Linked DNA regions of Mytilus edulis. The protein of the gene in region 1 purifies or fractionates together with the protein of each later gene. This does not show direct contact. Links are inferred from orthologs where the notes say so. Each region holds a gene or a part of one and is shown in the gene's direction. Other genes may lie near its edges.

The links.
Region 2: the proteins of kinesin heavy chain-like (region 1) and fasciculation and elongation protein zeta-2-like purify together in Drosophila melanogaster (affinity purification with western blotting; 3 studies listed by BioGRID). This does not show direct contact. The link is inferred for Mytilus edulis from reciprocal best matches to the Drosophila melanogaster genes Khc and Unc-76.

What each region holds. Positions count from the first base shown.
Region 1 is NC_092345.1:94,134,694-94,143,821, reverse strand, and holds the start of kinesin heavy chain-like, read left to right. Parts: upstream 1-5,467; 5' UTR 5,468-5,829; coding exon 5,830-5,994; intron 5,995-7,995; coding exon 7,996-8,083; intron 8,084-9,128. Other genes in the region: beta-galactosidase-like, read right to left, coding at 1,637-1,705. UniProt on the Drosophila melanogaster protein: Kinesin is a microtubule-associated force-producing protein that may play a role in organelle transport. Milt and Miro form an essential protein complex that links Khc to mitochondria for light chain-independent, anterograde transport of mitochondria.
Region 2 is NC_092346.1:56,389,103-56,397,623, forward strand, and holds the start of fasciculation and elongation protein zeta-2-like, read left to right. Parts: upstream 1-5,218; 5' UTR 5,219-5,441; coding exon 5,442-5,755; intron 5,756-8,521.

The sequences.
Region 1 (9,128 bases):
TGCTTTTGTGCAATACACTATGCTGTTGTGAATTTTCCTCCCCTCTCAAATAAAAATTAAAAAAAACTTTTTTTTTTAATTTTATGCAATACACTATGATGTTGCATATTTGCACAAAAAAAAATATGAAGAAATTTTCATTTAAATTTCTGAAATCTGAATTGAAAAAAATTGCCCCTACAACTTCTCTCCCCCCCCCCCCCCCCCCCCCCAATTTTTTTCACCTCCCCCACCCTTTTCCTTTCCCTCGAGTAATGTTATAATCTCAATTCAAATTTCCATTTGAGTTTGCAACCATAATTACCCATTAAATACATCATAAAAGTATTAACATTGATATTAATATTCCTTAATCAGCATAATTCTTAAAGTAAATTGACAGCTAATCACCTCAAAACAATACATTTCTTTGTACATAATTTAAATGCAGTGTTAGGGAGGTAATCCAAAAATTGTCTTAATTCTCAATTAACCAGGAAACCCTTGTTTTCCCCCTTTTTTGCCCCTAATTCATATACAGTTTGAACCATAACCCCCCAAACCCAATCTTAACCATCCGTTTGTAGTCTGGAAACTTGAGGTATTATTTCAGAGAGATCCATACACTTCAACACAATTTATTGTCTGGAACTAGAAAAAAGCATATTTGGGCCTCTTAATTCCTAAATTGTTGGGACAATAAGGCATAACCCCAAAAATCAATCCAAACTTTCTTTTTGTGGATATAATTAACCTTGTGTTTAAATTTCAGAGATTTCTATTTACTTATACTAAAGTTATTGTCCGGAAACCAAATGTCTTCAGACGACGAGGACGAGGACGACTACGTCATGTACGTGATACCAATATATGATCACAAAAAAATTTGCAGTTGTATAAAAACTATCAATTATTTGCAAGATATTTGTAATTGTTGTCAGACAAGGACAATGACAATTGATGACAATTATTGAATTAATATGGGGACGGAGTCCCCAATAACAGTAGAAAATTCAATAAAAAAAAAATACGGGAAAATTTCCCGAATTTTTCATTGTACTAATGAACTCAAAATCGTTCAAATTTTTTTTGTCGTGTTTTGAAATCCTGGACCTGCGCAGAAATGTACAATGTACTTCCTTTTTCCGGTCTCGTTTGTATGAAACTTTGAGTAAAATATATATTTATCAGTCTAGTATAAAATAGGAAGGAACGTGCAATACCAATTTCATTTTTAATAATTCCTTGATATGAAAAAACGTTACCTGATGATAGCGTTTCTTTGTTTACATTGCATATGACGTCATAATTTAAATGACGTCACAACTAAATCCCTTACAACAGAACCAAAATCGGAAACATTACGGTATTTCCGTTTCTTTTTTTTTAAACAAAATATTTAAGTTACAAAAAAATAATTCATACAGACTTCGTCCCCATTTACAGGTAGTGCCTGCCTCATATTAGCTCACACTGGCTCTTTGGTCCAAAAATTTGATTTGATTTGATATATGAATGATCATGAATTTTGTTAGATTGAGTATTGATTTGATTTGATTAAAATTTGTTTTCACTCCTCTGAAAGATGTTTGAGAACACTAATCTAAAATTTTAAATGTTTTGAACCAAAATATAAGTTAACTTGTGTAACAAATACCTTTAGTGCATGTATGATCATAAATAAAAAGACGAAAGTGAAAGTTGGACGAAACATGTAAGTCGCCATTTTCAATGTTTTGTTGAAGTCATGTGATTAGATCATATGACTTGGTTACACGTTAACTCGTACCTTTACCAATTCGTACCCAATATTTAATATAAGTGTACCGATATCCTATTACTGCATTGACAATTCTACCCTATTGACAATTCGTCCCTGTATTTGATATAGATATATAAATATATAAAGTAAAACAGCTTTTTATATTCCCTAATTTTCATATAAATATATATGAATCAGTGGTGATCTGGAACTGTGATATTAACCTGTTGCAATGCGAAGTCCTCCGCAAGGCTAGTGTATATGCACAAATATTGTAGTTGCTTAAAGGACACTCAAGCAACTAAACCGAAGCCGGATATTGTTTAAAGCACTTTACAATACATCTTTAAACTTATGTTCAAAAACTTATGATCTAGTCCTGATAAGCAGCTGTTGCCTAAATACAGGCTCTCAAAAAACATTGTTGAAATAAAAAAATAAGCGCAAACATTACTTGGATTTATATGCAGCCTCTAGTACAACTTGTCCCAATGCTCTGAGGGAGAAAAAAATCAACAACAAAAATCATAGATCCTTAATAGTTAAAATGTCAAAGTTGGATATCATTTCCTGGGACAAATTTGTAATTGTTTGCTTCTCTAATTATTTATTGAGGTAAAAAAAGAAGAAGTAAAACCATCTCAACCTCAGACCTAAGCATCTATGACAAGCTATTTCGTGTCGAGGATTGCCCTGATATCTTCCCTTTTCAATCTTTAAAGTGTGTTCTGACACATGCAACCTTGTCGGATTTTGTCTACAATGTCAACACTTTGGATTACAGATGCATATTTTTTTACAACAAAGTTATGTGTCCAAGTGTACAAGAGAATAGTTTACTTCAAGTAGGCCTATATGTATGTAAATCAGATCCTATAGGTTTGTACAAAAAAAAACAACAGAATATTATATGTCTTATATCCCAGATGCACAATATGACCAAAATTAAAAGACTGAAAATACGACGAAAAGACAAATAACAGAAAACGAAACACAATACAAAAGACCGTAATATTGAACAACACAAATCTCAGCCAAAACAGGCCAGGTCAAACTTCTGCATGTGCTCATGTAGGATAAACAGAACTTTTTGCATTAGAGAAACTAATTGAGATATTGCTTGAATAAGAGTTAAGGGTTTTACAAAGCATCCAATCTAATTAAAATATTGATCTCTGATTTCGTTAAACTACATATCAGTCATATATAGTATAACAAAATTAGAGATCAATATCTTAATTATAATTAGATTGACAAGGCATCAGTTGTCCCTTCCAAAATAAAACACTTTACTTATATCTGCGCTTGACTTTTTTTAAAACTGAGTTTGACTTATAGTTTCGATCTGAATGAGGGATGTTGAAACTATTCCAATATCTGCTATTTACATCATAAACTATCCGGGCAAAAGGGTAAACAATGTAGATATGATATTTTTTATCATCAAATCTTTTAAGGAGAAAAAAGGGAATTTACTAATATCCAAATTGTAAAAGAATAAACAGAACTTTATAGATCAAGATAATCATACTAAAAAAATCAAATATATATCGTTCTCATCTAACATAGGTCTATATTCAAACTAGAGTGAAGGTAAAAGCACAAAAAAAATCAACGGTAAAGGTGTGTATTTCACGACAATAACTCTTATAGAGAGTACATTAACGATTTCGGTCAAGGACTTATGTTATATGTCAGTTTGGTATGTTCAGGACGTTTGAATATTTCAAGTTTACTATCACACACGTTATTTCTTTGAAATAGCCTTTTTTTGTAGATCCTGGTTTGCTGATGATTTAGCTGCGAATAATTTGTCACCATCTATTTAAGTTTTCATATATATACAAAAGTCAAATGCGACAACACTGAAACTGTTATCATACCCTCAAAAATGTGTTTTAACAAGTTTAATTTAATAATCAATAAGTTCTTCGTTTCTTTCTATATGTGACCCCCTCATATGTATCATTTTGTACACAAACATATCAGGAATACATCAGTGCAACCATAAACTTGTACAATATATGTCCGGCCTTCTTTTTTTGGGGGGGGGGGGGGGTGGGGTTGGGGGGGGGGGGTAAACCGGCTAGCTACACCGCCACTGTCCTGAAAATGTTGGAAGCCTGAGATACAAAATATATCAATAAATAGTTGAAATTTGATCCGAACGAACATTCTTAACAAAAACAAAAAACCCTGTATTTTCATTATTTATAAATTAGTATAAAAGGTGGGTCTCATTGGGGTCTAAGCGTGACGCGGTATTGCCGATTTTTTGTAAGCGTGACACGTGAAAGTCAAATGATTGTGCCGTGAAAACGGGAAATGATGTCTAGCGGAAAAATGAGATATTATTGCTTTCATACTTAGTGTAAGCGGGATACGGAAATCTGACAAAACAGTAAACGGGATCCGGGATCAGAACCCCCCCAACTTGAGACCCCTAATAGTCCATGATTATACAATATACATATGTTTCTGTTTGTCTAAACAAACAAACAAACTATTATTAACTTGGAGATTCAGCGGGAAATATCTTATTCTAGAAAATATTGACTTCCGTATTTTCTATTATTCATTTATAAAAACTTTTTGAGAGTCCGTTACTGTTATTAAAGTTGAAGGCATATGGCCAGTCAAATGATGACGTTAAACTTAACGACAACTATCTGTCGAACAGAAAACAATGTGTTAAAGTGGTTGCATATTTTAGCACCTGGAAAAACATTTATAAAGATGTACCGCAGGGGTCAATATCGGGTCCTGTGCTTTTCAAAATTTTTATAAACGACATTTTCAATTTTGTAAATGAAAATGAGTTGTAAAACTATGCAGATAATAATACATTGTCACACTCAGGACCAGCTATAAACGGATTAGTTAAATCTTGGGAAAGGAAAGTGCAGTTTTAATAGATTGGTTTGCTAATAACAAAATGAAAGCTAATCCGGATAAATTTCAAGCTATTGCCATTGGCTATAAATCTAAAAGTGGGGATATTAAATTCAATTTTGATGAGAATGAAATTTCATGTGACACTGAGGTAAAGCTCCTGGGAGTGACAATAGATTATCAACTCAAGTTTAAAACACATATTTCTGAAATTTGTAAAAAAGCATCAAGGCAGTTAAATGTACTAAAAAGAATTGGGAAACATCTATCTAAATTGGGAAGGTTAACTAATCATCATTCATATATTATGTCAAATTTCAACTATTGTCCCGTTGTTTGGCATTTTTGTGGGGAGGGTAACACTAAAAAATATATTGAAAAAAATACAAGAACGAGCCGACAACCTTGCTTCGGAAGTTGGAAGTACGGTACACTCTGGAATGAGCTGCCTGACGCGATATGTGCGCAGTCGAATCTGAACCATAATAATAATAATGAATAAGCTTTATTTAGAGTCGGCAAGATATACAAACATAGACAATTTGATTTTTTTTTATGTTTCAAGTTCATTCTACTTTTAGAACTAGTTAAGCTTATGTATTTGTCTTCTTTGCATGTCACGCTTATAATCTAGTTTAATTCGTGCTTGCTTTTATATATATGAACTTTGCTTATACTTATGCAATAAAGCTGTCTCTACGAAAAAGCTCTATAGAGCTTATGTTTGTAGTATTTCGTGTAACCCGATTTAAAATAAATTTTCCTATCTAATCTTATCTAGTCCGCAAACATTGCAAAGCTAAAATTAGAGATTCCGCGGGAAATATCTTATTCGGGTAATTTCGAGCTTTTATATGGAATTAAAGAAACGTCTAGAGAAGTTCGATTTCTCGCAAACGTCATTTCCCATCATTCAACAGCAATGATGGAAGAAGGAGGAGATTTTGTTCGGACGTTATAAAAATAGTGTGTTCAAGGCGATCGCCGTGTCATCCTAATACATTTTGCTCTATTTTCTGCTTAGTAGTTCATTGATATATCCAATTCGCTTAAGATATCTTTCTTGTAACTCTTTCCAACTGCATTTTCACTGGCTAATTTTCTGTTTATTCAGCTCATGATATATTCATGATGGTGTGATTCACATACATTACATTATAAATTGATGTTTACAAATTAAATTTGTATCGTAAACAATGGCGACACAGCAGTCACCTGCTCCACCAGGGCCACCAGGGCCTACTCCTGATGAATGCAGCATCAGAGTTATTAGCAGGGTCCGACCATTAAATTCCTCTGAAGAAAAAGTTGGCAGCAAGTTTATCTTGAAGTTTCCAACAGATGACTCTATAAATATAAATGTAAGTGATTTATACATGCAAAAATGAATATTTAATTTTTTTTCTTTTGAAAATGCTACAGCTTCAACTTTAAACTAGGGCTTTAAATAGAAGCCAGTATTGTGATTTCCTTCGTCTATTTTGTCTATACATGTAGCATGAAAGATCATGGAATAGACCACTTTCGAGGGTGTCCATCAATTATGCGCACCTTTATGATGTCTTTTACCAGATAGAGGGGATCACCTGTATCCCTTCACTATAAACGTTCATCAAGCGTCTTAGTCTTATTATGAGAATTCAATTTGCTGAATAGTTTGTGTAATATAGCTTTATAGTTTTCCAATCACTTGCTCAACATTTGAACAGAAGTGAAGACTCCCCTATACGCACGAATGATGTTCACTTAAACCAAACTTTTTGACAGAAATGCATAGAACTCGAAAGTTGTCTATTTGGCAGTCTTCTTTGTCCTAAAGTATTTTATTTAAATTACACAAAAATGAGATCGATATGTTGACCGTAGTTCTATTTTAAACCTTAAATTATTGTTGTGTTATTGTTTATGTGTGTCAGTCTCTCCGTAAGAGTTGTGCAACAATAGTAGTTACCAGTTGTTGTCATTCCGAGAATTGTTTGTAAGACAAAACCTGATTGGGCAATCAACAAGTCCTTTTTAATTGGTGTACAATTGCACATCATGTGTGATGGTTAAACATTTACATAGCGACATTACCCATTGCTAGCTTGGTAATTTAATATGGTATACTTCAAAATTTTAATAATGTAATTTAAACAAAATTTATGAAAAATAAAAACTTCATTCAAAAACATGGCAATCTGAAAGTTGTATTTTTGTGCCAGGAGACTTCTAGAATGCAGGGAGGATTTTACTTTTAAAATAACCTAGAGCCTTTGTCGTCCCCACCAGCATGTTGGTTATTTTTTAGTTTCAGCCTTCTAATTCTATTGAAAGCCCTGTTATTTATAAAACAGTACAGTGTTGTCAGCAGATGTGATTAGGGACTGAAAATTATGGGCTTGTAAAAGTTGTTGCCTGAAATACATTGTAGCTCCAGTTTCAATACTAATAAAATCTATAAATTTGTAATATATAATAGAAAAATATATAAGGTATCCATCCATGCATCCATTACACAAAATTAGTACACGAACAGCATATAATTTATGAAAAGTAACAGGACAGCACATTAGTTGCTGTTCTTCATGCCTTTGTAACTATTTTTTTTTAAATGATCGATGATTTGTATGAAGATTTCCTTGCATATTATTTCATAGCAACCACACCACCACCATTACCTAGAATAATAGCTTAGATTATGTGAAAACTTCCGAGCACAGGTTTAACCAGAAAACTGATTGATATAACCCAAAAAACTCTGTTTTCATGATTTGATGCATCTGATATTGTCAATTGAAAATTTTTAGAACGAACTTTGAAAGTCAGTTAAAAAAGGCTCAACTCATCAGATGGATACAAATAGAAAGACATTGTTTAAAAGTGATTGGCCATTGATCAATGTTTCCTGGATCTAATCATTTCTATACAATTGTTTTCATGACCTAAATCATAAATATACATTTAAAAATTTTGTCATTGTTGATAAAAAATCAGAACTGGCATAATAACAATACCAATTCAACAATTATTGTTTATCTTGAAATAAGAGACACATACTGTCTAGTTTGAATTTGCTACAGTTAGGAAGTTAATGTAGCTTTACAGTAATTCCTTAGTTGTTGGTTGCTTGCTGCTTCATGTAGTCATTTGTGGTAGTTGTTTTCCTTTCTAAACTGTTTTTACCACGGAGTCGTCAGTTCCTACTGGATCCTGATCTCATTTTGTTTGTATTGTATCATACATGTATGTATATGTATTAAAGCTAGATTTAACATAATATATTACAGAATAAACCAGAATTTGATTTGTACTATCTGTTGCATATAATTTTAATTATTTGAAATACTTGTTCATTGATTAAGTTAACATTTTTTTTTTAGGGAAAATTGTTTATTTTTGACAAAATACTGCAACCAAATGTTTCCCAGGAAGATGTATATAATACAACTGCTAAAACGATTGTCGCTGGTAAGTAATGTGTTTGTTCTATATAATTTATCTTTTCCCTAAAGATACAGGAGCAAATACTTTTAATAGGCAACTGAACTGAGAGAGTATCTTTTACTGTACATAAGTAAATGATACAACACATTAAATGGTATGAATCTTGGAATGTCCTGTTGAATTGCCTTTCTGAGTAAACAAATGTAAGTAACATTAACATGCATGTAACAGTATACAAAAAAGCAAGTTTATATTCAGAATAAAATTGAGAAAGGAGATAGGGAATGTATCAAAGCGATAACAACCCGACCATAGAGCAGACAACAGCCAAAGGCCACCAATGGGTCTTCAATGTAGCCAGAAACTCCCGTATCCGTAGCCGTTCTTCAGCTGGCCCCCTAAAAAATATGTATACTAGTACAGTGATAATGGACATCATACAAGACAAAGGCCAGAGGCTCCTGACTTGGGACAGGCGCAAAATTGCGGCAGGGTTAAACATGTTTATAAGATCTCAACCCTCCCCTATACCTCTAGCCAATGTAGAAATTAAACGTATAACAATACACACATTAAAATTCAGTTCAAGAGAAGTCTGAGTCCGATGTCAGAAGAATATTATGGATCATCTGATGCTTCATATATATATATATTATTAGTATGATTCATATAGCTTTGAGACCTTTATTTAGGGATTTGGATTTAATTTAGGGAGGAACATACTTTTATGAAAACAATACTTGTAAATTAGAAATATATTATGCATGTAGTTGTAGAATGAATCTGCATATTATTTTAAAATGGAGTTCACCAAATACACTTTTATATGTCAGTTGGGTGAAAAGTGTCATGTAATCACTAATCAAGTCAAATCAATTAACTAATGTTTAAATTACTGTATGTTGCACTTTAATTTAAACAGATAAGGTTTACTTTGTACTAATTTGCATTCACCAACTTGACAATCAATAAATTTGCTGCAGCAGACATTATTGATTTATAGATGTCTGATATTAAGCTGTTCAATGTGTATTATGATCCAAACAGTAATTCATTGGATTTTTGGTAT
Region 2 (8,521 bases), on another chromosome or scaffold:
ACAGTTAACTAAACATGGAAATGTGATAGTGTGAGGGGTACATTTGGTAAGATTATTAATACCACAAATTTTTTTTATCAGTGTCACAGTACCAAATGATTCATCAAGTTGTGTAACAATAGTCAGCTTTAATTTAATGCATTAGCATGGTTGTATTAAACCACCTCATTGCTCTGTTTAGATATATAATTTAATCAATGTGTTGAACACATTTTTCAACTACTCTTTAAGTTGATTTATGGTTAAACAAACATTCATACAATAGAACCAATTGTAATTATTTTATTCAATAGCTCTTCTTTCTGATTCATAAGCTTGGTTTTAAAATTCATATATGTATGATACTGAATTTGATTTCAATCTTAGAATTACATAAAACATGTATATGTACTACTAATAATTACATTTTAACTGCAAGTTATAAGTAAATTTTAATTGGTTGTAAATTGTTTTTGTATTGAATTTTACTGAGAAAGGATCAACTTTTTAAAAAAAAATTATTGGGAAAATAAATTTCATGGGGTATATACAGATGATAATAACTGAATTATGATGGCTTGTTTTGTAAGTAAGTCGATCATGTCTCTTTACATTTCATACCACATTCATGTCATTACTGTATTATAGAGAAATATTTTTGCAAACAAATTGATAGATTATATATGTTAATAAATATTTTATACCTTGACATGTTTTATCAATAAGCCAGTCAATATAAGTTTCAGATTAAGGCATTTAAAGCTCGTTTTATTTATTTACCAAAAAAATCTCAAGTGGCATTTATATTATTTCAAATAACATATTATTTGTCACTTATGAGATAATTTCTGATATTTTGACAGAAAAAAAAGTATTGAAAAAAACAAATTCCAAGGCTTAATTTCTGATATATTGACAGAAAAAAAAGTATTGAAAAAAACAAATTCCAAGGCTATTTTAAAAAAAGGGAAACCCATTCAAACTGATAAAATCAAAGAATACTGAATTTTACCCGACCTGTGGATCCTGTTACTCTGTGGTTGCTGAGACAAGTCAAAGTTTATATAAAATAAGAATGATAACCAACGAGTCAACCACCAGAGAATAAAACATATAGACATAGCATTAAAATGTCACTGTATGGCATTCAAAAATGAATAATACTCATACAATATAATTGAAAAACTCACATGACAAAATGTTAAACTTTTCAAACTAAAAAAAAAGTTTCAACAAAATAAACGACCAAGGACCACAACTTAATTACATGCTCCTGACTAGGGACAGATGCATTCAAAATGCAACTAGATTAATATATAAATATATGATATTGCCAATAAGACAACTCGACACAAGAGACCAAATGACACAGAAATTAACTGCTATAGGTCACTGAAAACCCTTCAACAATAAGCAAATTCCATATTTGCAAATCTCTATTGTTCACTCACATGGGACAGTGGTGTGTAAAGGCACAACTTGAATGATCTTAATAATGACAAAATTTGTTAAATAGTGAGCTAGTTAAAAACCAGTTAAAACATAAATTAATCATGTTACATTGGTTTGAACCGTTAATTACATTGAAAACAACATTCTGGGTGCAATCGCACACAGTACATTACATGTTTCTTCTCATGAGAGTGCCAGATTGCTTTATACTGATATAATTTGAACAAATATTTAGCATGGGTGTAGAATTTTCATTATTTTATTGAAACAACAATTCTATGGTTATCAAATATCAAAGCGTTATCATTTATAAGCAGTCTCAAACTCAAAAAAGCAAAACTTAAGACATGCTATTTCCATTGTCGATGAAACAAAATTAGTTAATGATTAGGTCAGTTTAAAGAGAACCACTCAATTATACTCTTGTTATGCAGATGAATTGGCATTGTCACATCTCATTTCCATTGAGTTTATGTTGCTCCACCTGTCTATTATGGTATTGACAGAATGTTGCAAAGTTTATGATATGAATATTAACCAAGTTAATGTTAATATTTGGTATGCACTTGTCTTATCATTTGCAAGTCAACACTCCAATTAAGATTAAATGGCTCAAACTATATCATGTTAAAGCAACATGGTCACTATTTTTCAGAGACAAGACTTGGCAGACATAGGACTTCCTACAGTCTGTCTTTGTATGTGTCCAAGTAAAACTTTATAAATGACATCAATATCTCTGTCAAACCTTGATCATAAGACTTTTTGAATGCTCAAAAGACACTGTCCGGGGTAAATTTTGAAAATCATTTTTATACGACCGCAAAAATTTTAATTTTTTGGTCGTATATTGCTATCACGTTGGCGTCTGCGTTGTCGTCCGAATACTTTTAGTTTTCGCACTCTAACTTTAGTAAAAGTGAATAGAAATCAATGAAATTTTAACACAAGGTTTATGACCACAAAAGGAAGGTTGGGATTGATTTTGGGAGTTTTGGTCCCAACATTTTAGGAATTAGGGGCCAAAAAGGGCCCAAATAAGCATTTTCTTGGTTTTCACACTATAACTTTAGTTTAAGTGAATAGAAATCTATGAAATTTTGACACAAGGTTTATGACCACAAAAGGAAGGTTAGGATTGATTTTGGGAGTTTTGGTTCCAACAGTTTAGGAATTTAAAAGGGCCAAAAAAGGGCCCAAATAAGCATTATTCTTGGTTTTCGCACAATAACTTTAGTATTAGTAAATAGAAATCAATGAAATTTAAACACAAGGTTTATGACCATAAAAGGAAGGTTGGGTATGATTTTTGGAGTTTTGGTCCTAACAGGTTAGGAATAAGGAGCCCAAAGGGTCCAAAATTGAACTTTGTGTGATTTCATCAAAAATTGAATAATTGGGGTTCTTTGATATGCCGAATCTAACTATGTATGTAGATTCTTAATTTTTGGTCCAGTTTTCTAATTGGTCTACATTAAGGTCCAAAGGGTCCAAAATTAAACTTAGTTTGATTTTAACAAAAATTGAATCCTTGGGGTTCTTTGATATGCTGAATTTAAAAATGTACTTAGATTTTTAATTTAATATTGGCCTAGTTTTCAAGTTGGTCCAAATGGGGGTCCAAAATTAAACTTTGTTTGATTTCATCAAAAATTGAATAAATGGGTTCTTTGATATGCCAAATCTAACTGTATGTAGATTCTTAATTTTGGTCCAGTGTTCAAATTTGTCTACATTAAGGTCCAAAGGGTCCAAAATTAAACTAAGTTTGATTTTAACAAAAATTAAATTCTTGGGCTTATTTGATATGCTTTATCTAAATATGTACTTTGATTTTTGATTATGGGCCCAATTTTCAAGTTGGTCCAAATCAGGATTCCATATCAAGTATTGTGCAATAGCAAGAAATTTTCAATTGCACAGTATTGCACAATAGCAAGAAATTTAATTGCACAATATTGTGCAATAGCAATTAATTTTCAATTGGAGTTATCTTTCTTTGTATAGAATAGTAGTTGATAATATATGTTGGAAATTTGCCAGACATGACTATGATGTCATTTTCTATTTTTATTTGCCAATAACTTTATGTAAATAACTTCATTGGAAATTTGCCAATATAAAATGTTGCTGATGAAGCTTTTTTTCCTTATCTTATCTAAAATGTTTTTAGATAATGTATGTTGGACATTTGCCAGACATGACTATGATGTCATTTTCTATTTTTATTTGCCAATAACTTTATGTAAATAACTTCATTGGAAATTTGCCAATATAAAATGTTGCTGATGAAGTTTTTTTTATTGTTTTATACAATAAACAATGTATATTCACTTTTACTACCAACCAATCTTTACCATTCAGTGATAACAAGCACTTTATTTTACATTTTAATATTTTATGATGTATTTAAAAGAGTAGTTATTGTTGCAAACTCCATTAGAAATTTGAATTGATATCAGTTTTGGAAAAAGGAAAACGGTGATGTGAAAAAAAGGGGGGGGGGGGTTAAATTTTTCTCATTTCAGATTTCATAAATAAAAAGAAAATTTCTTCAAACATTTTTTGAGAGGATTAATATTCAACAGCATAGTGAATTGCTCATAGGCAAAAAAAATTAGTTAGTTCATTAGACCACATTCATTCTGTGTCAGAAACCTATGCTGTGTCAACTATTTAATTTTAGATTTAAAAAGTTTGAAGAAGAAATCTTTAATTGATTTGTAAAATCTTGACATTTGTTTTGTGTAAAAAAAAAACCATGTTATGTCAAAAATTTGATCACAATCCAAATTCAGAGCTGTATCACGCTTGAATGTTTTGTCCATACTTGCCCCAACTGTTCAGGGTTCGACCTCTGCGGTCGTATAAAGCTGCGCCCTGCGGAGCACTTGGTTGTTAATTTTTTCCCTATTTTACTGTTAAATTGACTCAGCTTTTTCACAGTTTAATAACAGTAAGTTGCATGAAATGGTTAATTTTTTTCAAGACACTTCTTTTTTTCAAGCCTTTATGGAAAGAAAATTGGACTGTCTTGAAAGACTTTCGTTGTCAAAAGATATTGTATCATGTCCAGCCTAAAATTTGAATGAATTTTTTCTCTTCTATTTTCTGAAAAATAGATCAAATCTTTTAGCAGTTAACTTTTGTTTAACATTTTGGGTTAAAGTTTTTTTTTCTCAATATAGTGTGGACACAGATAAGTTTGGATAGTAATTAATTTATAATGTTTGTATACAATTAAAATAAGATGTGGTTTGATAGCCGATAAAACGACTCTCCAATAATCTACAAAAAATATTTGGCACTCACCGTAGACTCTCAAACTATATATCAGCTCAATATGAGAAGGAGTTTAGGAAACTAGTCTGTTCATTGCATAATATGACACGAGGGTTTAACAATATGACCCCAACTGCTAAGATGGTCTGCCACGAAAACTGGTCGTCAAGATATAGTCTGCATGGTTAATAGTGAATGAATTGGTGATAAAATAAACAATCCCTCCCACATTATTATAATTGGAATTCGAGAATCTGAAAATTAGATAAGCCAGTCAATGTTTTGAAACATATGATTTTTATTTGACGAGACCCCTTTTTGTGTCGATTGACCAAGTGATGTTGGCAAAATATAAACGTCAAAACATTCTTTGCACATCTTATGATTACTGAGGAAATATTTGTATTACATTATATCAGAGACCTTTATGTCTCTGTTTATATTGTAGACAAAATCAAGATAAAATATTTGTGAAAGGAGCCACTTGTTTTGTCTTTCTATGGCCGTGTCTATTAATAAATTGTGAAAATTTATTTTACATTTCAGCTTCAGCACAGGCACCTTTCTCTCGAAAATAATTTTCCTTTATAGCTTAAGAGATCCAAATAGTACCGTGCACATGATTTTTTCAGACAAGTGCCTGTGTTGAGTTGTCTTTCTTCTAATGAAATGAACACTTCAGTCTAAATAAAAAAATTATCTAAAAGGTGAAGGTCAGAGATGTCAGGATGCGGGGAATGAAAATGGCGGAGCTACATTTCGAGGCTCCACTTGCAAAATTTGAGAATGAGGAACTTGCAGAGTATAGTGATTTTCAAGGTGTAAGTGAAACAAGTAGCCTTTTAAACACGGACATGTCAACTGCTCATGAAGAAAGTGAACATTCTGAAAACTTCGCGGAAACGGTGTCTGAATCATTGGAAGATTTGGTGAATACATTTGATGAAAAAATCACAAAATGTTTCTGCAATTTCGAGGACAAAGTAGATCATATAGCTCCAGTTCAAGTTAGAACACAAGAGGAGGTAGTTAAAGATTGCCAGTAAGTATTTGCTACTAACAGATCAAGAGTTTATGTGTCATGATCAAAACAAAAAAAGACAACCTCATCAGACAACAGTTTGGGTGCTGTGGAACATTGACATTGTCATAAAATATAATAGGGACTATAATAGTTATGATTACACAGCTTCAGGTTGGACAATAGCCCTGAACAGCCCAAATAATGCATAGGACATTTTAGAATATTTATATGAGATGTTCATGAGGTTGGGAACAAATCCTCTACATGGTTATCCATCTATAGAAGGATTATTCCTCTATACAAGACTAATCACCATATACAAATGTAAAGGGTTCGTTCGCAACCTGTTCATTTTCAACCTGCTAAAAATAATGATTTATGAATTTTAAAAGTCAAAACAGATCATGAATATGATACTAGATTATGTATGTACTAATAGATTCCTTCATTATTCTGAGCAACCCTCAAGGGTACAGTGGAATTTGTGTAGAGGAGATACATGTGTCACTTACATATTTTCAACGATATTTACAAGGACAAATTATCCTGGCCCAATGCCTACTCACAGGTAGTGATGGGACATCGGAAAGTCTTTTATTGGCGGAGGCCAAAGTACTTGAACAAAGTGACTGCAGGAACAGACGAACTGAAGAGATATCAGTCGATTGATCTTCAGGTCAAAGTTAAGGGCAGCTTTGACCAACAGTGGCCCCCAGAGTACCCATTTTAGTTTAAACACCAGTCTGGGTCCCAAGGACCACAAACCCACACTAGATTACCCCCTCTAAAATGTTATTTGGTTTGTTTGTCAATATGATTTAGGTAGATGGGCAATCTTATTTTATTTTAGATACATATACTGACATTTCTGGTATTTAGGTTTTTATTCCTTATGGTGCCTGTATTTATCAGGTATTTAATTTTCATTGAACTGGTTCACATTTTTATTCAGGGGCCAGTTGAAGGCCTCCTCTGGGTGCGGGATTTTCTCATGGTGTTGACGATCCATCTGTGACCTTCCTCTGTTATCTGCTATTTTGTTGGGATGTTGTCTCTTTGACATATTCCATAGATCCATACTTAATTTTATTTATTTGATAAATATATAAGAAATTAAATATACATGTATAAATATTAGAATTTGCTAAAAAAAATACAAAAAAACAACAACATGGAAATAGATTAAGTTTAATTGCTTGTTTTATTGGCTTCATTGTTACATTTTTTAAATTTAGAATTTGTTTAAGTTACAGTTGATTGTAATTTAGAATAAGAAAACTGGAATGATGATTATAAATAGATGCATTTGATCTCACTTTTTGCATTATCAATTGTCTTTACATTGTAGTGGTTTTATAAATAAAATAACAATTTTTAAAAGTAAACTACTTCATTGTGTAATGTTGAAGGCAATACAGTGGACTATTCATTTTGTGTTGGCTACTATCAGTATCACATTTTAAATCAGCTGGTGGATCTACTTGTCTCATTGGCTATTATATAAAATGCTCTATTAAATGATATATTTTACTACTATAACAAAACAAAATAAGAATCAGGGTGAATTTTTTTTTTTAGTTTGTATCTTTTTGTTAAAATGTTCTTAACTGTACATGTAAATTGTGTTTATATACAAGTCAGTATTTAGTATACATTTTGAAGTTTCCCATATTTTTTATGGTGTATGCAAACATGGCTATCCAAAGTAAAAGACATACTGTCTACCTTCAGTTTTGTTTGCCTGGTTTTATGCAAAGGTATTCATATAAAATTACTCTCTAAGACAGAATTTACAGAGTTCCAGAAAAAAAATTCACATGTCAGTTACATGTATTTGTAACTCTATAATCAGGTGTTATCTTGGAAATTTGTTATGATTGACACTCGTTATATGCTAGAATGGGAGTATATCAAAGAGACATCAACCTGTCAGACTAGAAAGCAAATAATAGGGACCAATGTGTCTTCAATTGGCTTCAGCTAGTCACTAAACAATAATGTACATATAAACTGTTTCAGTGAAATGGACCCAATACTGAAGTTCAAAACATACAAATGAACCAAAATTAAAAAAAAGCACAAGACTAACAGAGGCTAGAAGTTCCTGACTTGAGAGCTTGGGGCAAAAATGTGGGTTTTAGTATTTCAGCACAAACATGGTTATAGTATGTACAGGTAAACATGATAATTTCATAATTTTGCAGTTTTAAACTATTGTGTAAAAATCATTACTTAAAAACAATATATAAGTCAAGCAGATGCAATATGATGTTTTTATTAAAACTACAGTCATTTTTATAAATTTTCTGTTTACAAAACTTTGAATTTTTTGAAAAACTAAGGATTTTCTTACCCCAGGAGTAGATTAACTTAGCCGTATTTGGCACAACTTTTTGGAATTTTGGGTCCTCAATGCTCTTCAACTTTGTATTTATTTGGCTTTTTGAACTATTTTGATCTGAGCGTCACTGATGAGTCTTATGTAGACAAAACGCGCGTCTGGCGTATAAAATTATAATCCTGGTACTTTTGATAACTATCAAATAATCAAAACAAAAATAGTCTTAAAATTAATGGTTATTTTGGTACTGAAATATATCGGATCAGACATTGGTACAAGTGAATAGCTAATATCTGTATCAGAATCACCTACTTCATAATTTTTCAAATTGTCCAATGGTCAAGCATATTCTGAATTATTGTGTTTTGCATGTTAGGTAACACCATTGAAAAGTGTTTGGATAGTTATATCCTATTATTGGTTGACATTTTGATTTAAGGTGG